Linked DNA regions of Rattus norvegicus. The protein of the gene in region 1 interacts with the protein of each later gene in a biochemical or structural test. Links are inferred from orthologs where the notes say so. Each region holds a gene or a part of one and is shown on either strand. Other genes may lie near its edges.

What was found.
Region 2: the proteins of Dlg4 (region 1) and Gucy1a2 interact in a test that uses a peptide from one of them, tested with the Homo sapiens proteins (2 studies listed by IntAct, with this or other methods). The link is inferred for Rattus norvegicus from reciprocal best matches to the Homo sapiens genes DLG4 and GUCY1A2.
Region 3: the proteins of Dlg4 (region 1) and Frmpd4 interact in a biophysical measurement, tested with the Homo sapiens proteins (2 studies listed by IntAct, with this or other methods). The link is inferred for Rattus norvegicus from reciprocal best matches to the Homo sapiens genes DLG4 and FRMPD4.

What each region holds. Positions count from the first base shown.
Region 1 is NC_086028.1:55,238,353-55,241,952, reverse strand, and holds the start of Dlg4 (disks large homolog 4), read right to left. Parts: upstream 2,170-3,600; 5' UTR 2,114-2,169; coding exon 2,084-2,113; intron 1-2,083. UniProt on the Homo sapiens protein: Postsynaptic scaffolding protein that plays a critical role in synaptogenesis and synaptic plasticity by providing a platform for the postsynaptic clustering of crucial synaptic proteins.
Region 2 is NC_086026.1:8,879,099-8,882,826, forward strand, and holds part of Gucy1a2 (guanylate cyclase soluble subunit alpha-2), read left to right. Parts: intron 1-3,153; coding exon 3,154-3,728. UniProt on the Homo sapiens protein: Has guanylyl cyclase on binding to the beta-1 subunit. Isoform 2 acts as a negative regulator of guanylyl cyclase activity as it forms non-functional heterodimers with the beta subunits.
Region 3 is NC_086039.1:30,365,621-30,369,348, forward strand, and holds part of Frmpd4 (FERM and PDZ domain-containing protein 4), read left to right. Parts: intron 1-2,594; coding exon 2,595-2,684; intron 2,685-3,226; coding exon 3,227-3,409; intron 3,410-3,728. UniProt on the Homo sapiens protein: Positive regulator of dendritic spine morphogenesis and density. Required for the maintenance of excitatory synaptic transmission. Binds phosphatidylinositol 4,5-bisphosphate.

The DNA.
Region 1 (3,600 bases):
CGGAGGGCAGAAGCCATGTGCCCCCTGCTGGTTTCTCCTGGGCCACCCTCAACTGGCCTGGATAGAGAGGAACCACAACTCCCAACAGTCCTGTGGACCACGACGCTCTACTATTGAAGGATCTTGTACCTCAAGGCCTTATGGGAGTTGGAGTCCCTCCATCTAAGGCTGACAAGTTTTCTGACCAATGAATGTTGCAAACATGGGTCTCCAAACCTCAGTAAGACCTGAATACATGATCCTCTAGGCAAGCCTCCTACCTTCAGGGTTGCTCAATCATGTGTTCCATCGAACACATTGAAAACTGGAGCAGAGAAATGAATAGACACATCCACTCAGAATAGCTACCAGTGCTACTAAGCCCCTCACCCTTATTGGATTTCATGTGTTCATGTTAGAAGGAGAACTCACACATTCCAATGAGTTCCTATATACATCAGTACAAAGGTGATGACAGCTAGGTTGCCAAGGCCAGGGATTAGGCCTAAGGACAGAAGGCACAAAGAACACAGGCAGACACTGACTGAAAGAGGGCTAGAAGAACCGAGGCACAAAAATCTACTGAAAACTACGGGGGATAAGAGAAGCAGCAGCCTGGAAGAAAGCCCAAAATCCACAGACCAGGAGAAAAACAACCAGCCCTGTAGATGGGGTAAAGGATGCAGACCTGAAATCTTCAGTCCCCAATCTCTAATCATGTTCACACGTGCACAATGCATGTGTATACACATGTGTGAGTTTGTGGCAAGGAACATGTGTGTCCTCAGCTTCCTTCCATAAGAAGCTGCAGTTCCCACTAAATATAACCCCCTCCCCAGCCTGTGACTCACCCGGACCCCGCCTCCCCCGGCCCCCACTTCCTGTCCCACCCCCCAACCCCCAGCTGCCTGCCGCCCGCCCAAGCCTCCCTCCTCACACCAGGCATCTAGCCTGCCAGTCCCAGAGTCTGGGAGCAAGCGACCGACCTAAGCTTCTTGGGCTTTCATCCCAGATCTCCCACTCTTTCCAGGCTCTGACCACAGGGACACCCTTGTACCCTGTATGGATCCCAGTTCCGCCAGCCCTGCCCTCTTTCTATACCGTTTTACCCCAGTGGCCTCTTCACCTCACAAGCCTTCAGAGACCCTTAGATCCAGGTGTCCTCTCAAGCGTCAGGGTAACAGCCCCCCTCCCCATCTGCTATTCTGTTCTCTTGACCAAGGCTAGATAAAATGTGGGAGATGGGAATAGTGGGCACCTGCCTGGGCTACCCCCAAATTTTGTACCACCCACATGGTCCCCCTCCTCAACTACCTTCTTTTTATCCTCCTACCCCACACCTCTCATCCTTCTTACGAGATGACAACCTCAGCTTTGCAACCTTCTAGCTCCCATGGGAGTACCCTGAATCCTAATCCCACCTGGTCCATTCTCTCAGGTAAGGCTGCATCAGGCCTCAGCCCTCTGGAAACTCCCAGGTCACTCACTCTATTCCACATAATTAAACCCTAAATGTACAATTCCCTCAAATCAGGAGCATCTCAAACATGTCTAGCACAAGATGTTTTATTACCTGAAGGCCCACCCTTACCTGCTAGTTGACACAGCCAGACAAGCCAGACACAACCAGTAACCTTTACCCTTATGCCAAGAGACACCCCCCCAAAATTGGTCAATTGGTCAGCATCTTGAAATGAGCTTTTTTGCCCAGGAAGGAAGACAACCCTCCCCCTAACACACTCACATAGCCCACCTTCCCACATATATGAGCAGAACTCCCATGTGAGGCAGGCGGGCTTCTCCTTAAATAAATTGCCCTCAAAACACTGCTGATGAACACCAGAGCCCACCAAGACACCCCAAACACCAAATCAAATTCTCCATTTCTTTATAGGTACAAAATGATCACTCCAGGAGGCACCTGTGGACCAAATCCATCGTTTTCTCAGATGTGAACCCCAAAACTAAATTGTGACCCCTCTAATACATCTTACTTTAGATGCGCTCACTTCAGTGCCTGCAACCCTAGATAAGGCCTACCTAAGCCTTCTCCACAAATTCATTACCTACTCCCCCTCCCCACTGCTCCCCCCATCATGCTTACCTTGGTTGTCACTATACAGAGACAGTCCATGTTGGGGGGCCTGGCCGCGGCGGCGAGTAGGGGGCTCTGACTTCATTGGAGTTTTGTTCCTCCCCTCGGTGGGTTCTCACCCCTCCCCCCTCCGCACCCCACTTTTGCAGGGGGGGCCAGGATGGGGGGAGGGGTGAGAGGGGAAGGAGAAGGTTGGAGAAGAGAAGGGTAGGGGAGCGTGGAAGGGAGGGGGGACCCTAAAGGGGGCTCCCCAGTGGAGGGGAGGGGGCTTGAGGAGCACACCCCGATTCTCAGGAGGGGCAGGGGCACAGGGGGCTGGCAGCCCCGGAGTTCTGGGGCTGGGGCATGAGCTGGGGTGGGGGAGGGGATCTGGATTTCGGGAAGCCCCGGGGTATGCGGGGGTCTTGCCAAACGGCCAGGGGCTAGGGGCCGTGGCGGGGGAGTGGGGTGGGGGGGGTTGGAGATGGCAGCGGCCGATGTAGCCGCGGAGCCGAGGAGGGAAGGGGAGAGAGGAGGAGAGAGGAAGCAGGGGGAGGGAGGGAGGGAGCTAGGAGCCAGAATGGGGGGGTGCCTTGGCAGTGTTAACTCCTTCACTGCTGGCAGGAACCCGGATAATGGGAAAGGAGATAGAAGCACAAGCAGAGAGGCCCTACGGCAAACATGGAGACCTGGCTAACCTCGATGATGACATTAAAGACGAGGACGGATTTCATTCCTTAGAGGGAAAAGGCCCACATCTGAGATGAGAGCATCCCTGGCTGGTTGAGTGCTGGAGGGAGGCCACACCACGGGGTACGGGGCTGAGGGAGGGGCTAACATTAGAGAACCTTGGGGACCTAGTTCTCCCCTAGGAGTCACAGGAAGAAGTCTGAAAAGTAATTAATTATGACCTGGACTTTCTGGTGCTGAAATTGGGGCAAGCCAAGAAAGGGGAGAACGGAGAAAGGGTACAGGGCTGGCTGCCCACAGAAAGAGCACTGTCAGTGCCCCCGACTCCTCAGTCAGTACTAGGGATTTTGTTGCCAAGGCCCCTAAGTCTCAGTTTAAAATTAGCAAGAACGTCCTCATCCCTCCAGTCCTGCCAGCTTGAGCAGTCAGGAAGCCAGGCACCCACCATCATCACCTTACCTGACTCTCTAAGATGCAAGCCTCATAATAGTCCAGGATGTCTGTCACAGGAACAGAATTAAGTCACCTCCCAAACCTCAGGCCCCTCTGGCCACCCCTGCTACCCATGGCTCTGTGTGTTGAGAGACAAGTTCCTCTAGCTAGGATGGATGCTGCTGGGACACAGTGGGATGACCACAAAAGCAAGAGCCTGGACTAGGGGCTCTGCAGGATTCCAACCAGCCTAGAACCTATAACAGGTGACCCCATACCGCAGGCCAGCCCTTTCCATTGTGGCCCCTCAGAACACTAGCATTACTCACCCAGCAAGGCCTGGAAGAGGTCACTGTGCAGCACTGTGAGGAGGGGAGGTGCCCACCGCAATAGTGGCGGGGCCAGGAGCCAGAGGGCTGACCTGG
Region 2 (3,728 bases), on another chromosome or scaffold:
TTCTTTTCTCATTTTGTTGAATATTTTTATCCCCTTTATGTTGGGAGTCTTCACTCTTCTATACCTATTATCCTTACATTTGATCTACGCATTGTGACCTGGATTTCCTCAATGTTTTCGGGTTAGGTGCTTTGAGAATTTTTCATTATCTTTAAGAGTTGTGTCGATGTTTTCTCTCTTCTATCTCTTGTATTCTATTGGTGATGCTTGCATCTCTGAGACTCCTGATCTCTTCCCTAAGTTTTCTATCCCCTGTGTTGTCTTTCTTTTTGCTTCCTTTATTTTTTTCTATTTTGATTTTTAAATCCTGGACAGTTTTGTTCAATTCCTTTTTCTGTTTAGTTGTGTTTTCCTGTAATTCTTTAAAGGGTTTTTGTGTTTCCTCTTTAAGTGCTTCTACTTGTTTACTTTTATTGTCCTATATTTCTTTATGGTAGTTATTTATGTCCTTCTTAAAGTCCTCCATCATCATCATCACAAAATGTGATTTTAATTCTAAATCTCTCTTTTCCGATGTGTTTGGATATCCATTATTAGCTTTTGTGAGAGAACTGGGCTCTGATGATGCCAAGAACTCTTGGTTTCTTTTCTTTAGGTTGCTGTGTTTGCCTCTTGACATCAGGTTGTCTCTGGTATTAGCTTGTCTTGCTTTTTCTTATTGTGGCTTGACCCTCCCCTAGGCCTGTGTGTCAGCATTCCTATAGACATGTTTTCTTTCAGTTGGATCTGAGAAGAGAAATCTCTGTTATCAGGTGTTTTGGAGCTCCTGGCACCTTGTTTAAGCTCTCGGTGCAGCAGAAACCTGAAGGGTCCTGCTCCTGACTGCTCCTAGGTCCCTCTGCCCGGGGGACACAGATTTCACTCTTGATTTCCTCTTCAGTCAGAAATGTGAGCAGAAAGTCGTTGTCTCCTCTACGTTCTCAGGACCGTCTGTGCTTCTGAGGGTCCAGCTCTCTTTCCCGTGGAACTTGGGTGCAGGGAGCTGTGTTAACAGTTCAGTTCTGTTCAGGGCACAGACAGAAACCAGCAGGTTCCTGCTGTAGACTATTCCTATATTCCTGAATCCAGAGGCACTATGCAGTTTTTCTTGGGCCAGGGATATGGACAGAAGTGTTGGTCTGTGTTGTGGTCTCAGCATGGTCAGCACTTCTGGGAGTTCAGCTCTCTCCCCCATGGGATTTGGGTGGAGATTGCTGTGGGATTGGTTCAGTTTAATTCTGAGCACAGGAAGAAACCCAAATGCCTTGTTCCAGAGGACTTCTGCCTTTCTATGTCCTGAATCCACCAGGCAGTTTACTTGGGGCAGAAAAGGTGGTCTTTTCTCTCAGGTGTGTAGATGCTCCTGTTGACTGTCTTTCAGCTCTTGGCCCAGGCAGAAACCCAAAGGGTCCTGTCTCTGACTGGTTCTATGTCCCTGTGCCCAGGGTCACAGATAGGAATAGGGGATTTCCTCTTGGGTCAGAAATGTGGGCAGAAAGTAGCTGTCTCCTCTGAGTTCTCAGGGGTGTCCATAATTCTGACAAGTCATTTCAAGTTCTACAATTTTATATTCTTTTTATTAAAGTTTATCTTATTTTCATGGTTTACCCTGTTATGCTATAATAAACACTCTACTATTTCCAGTGAATAGCTTGATGCTTTTCCCCACACATGCACTATATATTATTTTTGATAGGTGTTTCCCACTTAATGAACATCTAGTTTTGCATATGTGCTATATGTCCTCTAACTATTAATAAAATCATTAAGAAAAAATAATTTGTATTGTTTAAATAGTGAGGTAATAAAGAGAAAATTAATTTCTAGATTATTTTCATTTAAAAAGCTCTCTGTGAGTCAGGGGAAGAAAGAGAGGAATAAAAAGAAAATAGAGTTTGAGGTAATAAAAATATGCTGAAGATATTATAATGGTAATATGTTAATCATCATAATACCCTAGCATCTAGAATGAACTATGGTCACTCTTCTTCGTGATCAGAGCTTGTCAGGGTAAAGTCATTGCACAATGTGCAAGGTCCTTCCATTGTAGACATCTGATAAGGAAATCTATACAATGCATGTGTGCATGTATGGGGCAGTGAGACTATTTGGAAATATTCATGCTTTTTACATATTTTTGTTCCAAACCTAATTTTTGGCAACAGCATAGAGTCTTCTTAAAGCTAAAAAACAAACAAACAAACAAACAGCAACAACAAGCCTTCAATAATTTCTCAACATCTTAGACACATGCAAATTAATTGGAAAAAAAAACCCCTCTAATTTAAACTGGGACTCTCAGAGACTAACCAGCAACCAAAGAACATACATGGGCTGGATCTAGGCCTTTTTGCACATATATAACATATATGCAATTTGGTCTTCACGTGGATCCTGAACAACTGAAATGGGTACTATCCCAAAAGCTGTTGCCTGTGTGTGGGATATTTTCTTCTAGCGAGGTTGCCTTGTCTGGTCTCTGTGAGAGTTTCTGCCTAGCCTCACATAGAACTGGATGTGCCAAGTGGGTGATACCAAGGAGTGTCCCCACCCACTCAGAGGAGAAGGAAAGGGGGAATCAGGGGAAGGATTGTATAAGGGGGTGGCCAAGAGGCAGGCAGTGAGCAGTATGTAAAGTGAATAACTAAAAAAGAAAATCTTTACCAAATTGAAAAACCTAAAATAAATGAATAAATCTCTTGATATTTATGACCTGTATATTTATGACCTAAATAAAGATATAATAAGTAATTTAAACACAAATAAATAAACTGATACATAATAAGCCAAAAATTTTAACCTATATGGGAAATTTGGGGACTCTGGAAAATATCTCTTTTATTTCACTCACCTATTACCACTTTAAAAAAGTGTTCACCCCTCAAAATAAATGTGTTTATTTTTAATTATGTGTATGTGTTTCCCTGTGTGTAGGCATGAAACTATAAATTCTGAGTCAGATATTCTTGGGCCTGGATTTAGAAGCTGTTTAGAATCACTTTATATAGGTTCTGGGAACCAACTGAGGTGTTCTTTGGGAAGATTATGCCATCTTATCTACTGAGCCATCTTTCTGTCTCAAAATTGCTGACTCTTTAGGTGAGTGATTTGAAAGATATATAGCTAATTACATACAGTTTATGTACTGCCATTTTTATTCTCCTTTACTTTTAGGACTGAAGTTCCAAGAAATTCAAGAAAGGTTTGGTGAGGAATTCTTTAAGATATGCTTTGATGAGAATGAGCGAGTCCTTCGAGCTGTAGGCAGCACATTGCAGGATTTCTTCAATGGCTTCGATGCATTGTTGGAACACATTAGGACTTCATTTGGGAAACAGGCCACTCTAGAGTCACCATCTTTCCTATGCAAAGAGCTTCCTGAAGGTACTCTCAAACTCCACTACTTCCACCCCCACCATACAGTGGGCTTCGCAATGCTGGGAATGATCAAGGCTGCAGGAAAGAGAATCTATCACTTAAATGTGGAAGTTGAACAAATTGAAAATGAGAAATTTTGCTCTGATGGTTCAACCCCAAGCAATTATAGCTGTCTTACCTTCCTTATCAAAGAATGTGAGACTACTCAGATCACAAAGAACATTCCACAAGGTACTTCCCAAATTCCTACAGACCTCAGAATCAGTATCAACACCTTCTGCAGAACCTTCCCATTCCATTTGATGTTCGACCCTAACATGGTGGTCCTTCAACTTGGAGAGGGCCTACGAAAGCAACTTCGATGTGACAAT
Region 3 (3,728 bases), on another chromosome or scaffold:
AATATGTCCACATATTGACATGGATGCCCTAAGGAACAAAATCTCTACCATCACCACTGATAACCATTGGATTGAATCCAATTTTGGAAAGAGAAGGATAAGATTTCCCTGCCACTCATCATTAGTGTTAAAATATTTGTATTCATTTCTGTTTTTATTAAGAGAAGCACAAAGACCATTTAAAAGTATTCTGTTGTTCAGAAAAAAAGAAAGGCGTGGTTTAGAAGTAATAAAAGAACAAAGATTCCAGTAAGTACAGAGACAAGGAGCCTTAAATCTCTGTGCCTATAAAATGAGAAACAACCTGAGTACACACTAGAGCTGATATAAAGTAGAGAAACTTGTCTGACCTCAATACAAATCACCATCCATGTAGGGAGTTCTTTGGTCATGGTATCCTATTTTCAGTCATTTTTATAAGGCTTCACCCCATAAACATTTTTTGAAAGATATAACCAAGTTCAATACACTCTTGGCCACATTCTCTTTCTTAGTTTCAATGGAAAATGTCCGCTATCACCTCGCTGTGAGCACCCAGCTTCATAAAAATAGAAAGATACCATGGGTCAATACTTTTACACTTCCTAGGGCTGGGGAAATGGCTCAGATGGAGAACTGCTTGCTACACAAGCGGGAAGACTGAATTCAATTCCAGAGCCCAAGCAATGATGCTGAATGTGCTGGTTAATACTTATAATCCCGGTACTAGGAGATGGACCCAGGCTTCCTGGAGTTCACTGGAGCTCACTGGGGCTCACTGGCCTGCCAGCCTTAGCTTACTTTATGAGCTTCAGGACTATGAAATACCTTCTCAAATGAAGCAAGGTAACTGGCTCTTGATATCCTTATGTAATATCCTCTGTCCTCCATGCACACGTGCACTCATATACATCCCACACTCATATATATGGAGAGAGATAGAGATAGAGAGAAAGAGAGAGAGACAGAGACAGAGACAGACAGAGACAGAGACAGACAGAGACAGACAGAGACAGAGACAGACAGAGACAGAGACAGAGAAACAGGCAGACACACACACACACACACACACACACACACACACACACATATGTTTTATAGTTTTTGTTCTCATTTCCCCAAAATCGATGTCTGTTAAGTAGTTTGACTTGATTTTTTTTCAGGCTTGGTGGCCTAGTCTTATGATAATTAACAACTACCAATATTAGTTCATTCTTTTATCTATTATATACCCATATGTGTGTGCACGTGTGCATGTGTATGTGCGTGTGCGCATGCATGCGTGTGGGGTGTGTGTGGGGGGGTGGGGGGGGGTGTGGGGGTGTGGGTGTGTGTGCGCGCGCATGTGCACGCTTCCTACTATAGCATTTCCAGCCAATAAAGTGGTTGGCTTAAATTTTGGGCGTTTTTGACAAGATTTCGGGTGAATGAATGGTGAAAAATCATCACTACACAGAAGATAATATCTCTTGTTATAGATAGAAGGGGAATTGGAAAGTCATACGTGAGTGAAGAAATTTTTCCAGTCTTTACTGTTTAATGGTGATTATTCATACCTTGTTGAAAATTCACCTTTGATAAACATTCCTTATGCATTCAATATAAGACAGGTACAGATTCTAATTAAATTCCTCATTTTTAAATGACACGAAAGCCTCCATTTTTGAAGTCTCTATAAAGATCCATTTTGTCTAGATATTTGTAGTTCATCAAACTCCATAGATTCTCAGAGTTGCATTAACAAAACCAGAATGTTCATAGAAAACTCAAACCACTTCACTGTGATTGGAGTTCAGAAAGTTCATTCACCCTGAAACTCTGAAAAGGGTAGAAGAAACTTGAGATGGGAGGTGTGCAAGGTTGCTTAAAAGATTTGCAAAGATCTCAGGCAGCCCCACAAATTCTGTGTGCAAGTGAGTCTCCTATGTCATTAGAGAATTTACACTCAACACTCCTTTGTCTCTAATCACAGTCAGAAAGTGTCCCTTACCTATTGTAACCTTTCAGTGAGCATACATTTCCAGAGAGTAATATCTCACTTATTGAATGGACTGAACCATGTGTCTATACTCATGCACCTACCTCAACATCTTTCATCACACACACACACACACACACACACACACACACACACACACACACACACACACATTCACACTTCTCTTCCAGAAGCAGCAATAAGATTTGAATCTTGGTGTTACATTTCAGTTCATTATCCCAAAACACAGGATATAGTAATATATTGCCTTCCTGCTGAAGAGTCTTTCTCATACCCCATCTCCCTAGCAATAAAAGCATCCTTTGCGGGTGGAGGTGCAACTCAGTTGGTATTGAACCCAGAGCACTGGATTCTACCCCAGCACTGCATATACTGGGCATGGTGCCACACACCAGTAATTCCAACATTCCAGAGGTGAAGGCAAGAGGATCAGAAGTTCATGGTCATCCTCAGCTAACTAGGAAATTTGAAGATAGACTAAGATACATGAAACAGTGTCTTAAAACATAAAATAATTTGGTTCACACAGTGACAAATTGTCTTGTACCTTTATTTCCACAATAGAAAGAGTCCCACACAATGAAGCCCACATTTGAATTTTCTTTTCTTTCCTCAGCTCTCTGCACTACAAGCTAAGGTCCACTATCTCAAGTTCCTCAGTGACCTGCGACTATACGGGGGCCGTGTGTTCAAGGCAACATTAGTGGTAATTGCATTTTCTTTCTTTCTGTCTGGAGCCAGAGGCTGGCCAAACATCACAGCACAGCACAGGCTGTCTTCAAGGAGTTGCCCTGGATGATAAACATAAAGAAGCTAGGAATCTTTCCTTGTTTTCAATACTAACCAACTTCACCACAGTCTGGAGATACCTTGAGAAATGTTCGATCTAAGTAGCATTGCTGTAGAAGCCCTGGGGGAAAAATGGAATCAAAGGACTCTTAACAATGGTGCCTTTTCAATCACTGAGATAGAAAAGGGAGGGGGACACTTCTCACTTCTAAAAGCTTTTGATGTGCATAAATATATTGTATAATGACTACATTTACTTTCTATGTTATTCATCATTTATGGGCAACCCTATATACTCATATCTGAGTCCACCTAATTGGATGATTTAATGCAATATAACCCAGAAAAACTTTCCAAAGAATACATCATGATCTTAGGAAAAGAGTCACTCAGTCTGAGATTTAGATGATGCTTCAAAAGTCCTGAACCTTGAAATACTCTGTCATTCTCTTTCCTTAGCAGGCAGAGAAGCGCTCAGAAGTGACTCTTCTGGTGGGTCCCCGGTATGGCATAAGCCATGTCATAAACACCAAAACCAACCTGGTGGCTCTTTTAGCTGACTTCAGCCATGTCAACAGGATTGAAATGTTTACTGAAGAGGAGAGTTTGGTGAGGGTGGAGTTGCATGTGCTCGATGTGAAGGTGAGCCTTTCGCATGGTGACCCATGGCACTGCCTTCAGCAGTTCATTTCTGATAGCTCTGATAGTACTCATCATGCATGAAAGAGTTAATGTGTGCATGGCCTCACAGATGCCATTTGGTTAAAAAAAGTAAATAATAAATCCATACAACTCCTATCTAGGTGTTCTAGTCCTCATTAGATTGCTGTCTCATTTGGGGACAGGTTATTATATTTCTTTAGGCACAGTTTCTCCATCGGTGCACAAAAACAGCAAGTTATATCATTCTCAATCCCTTCACGGTGTAGAATACTGAATCATATAACACTTGGGAGACTAT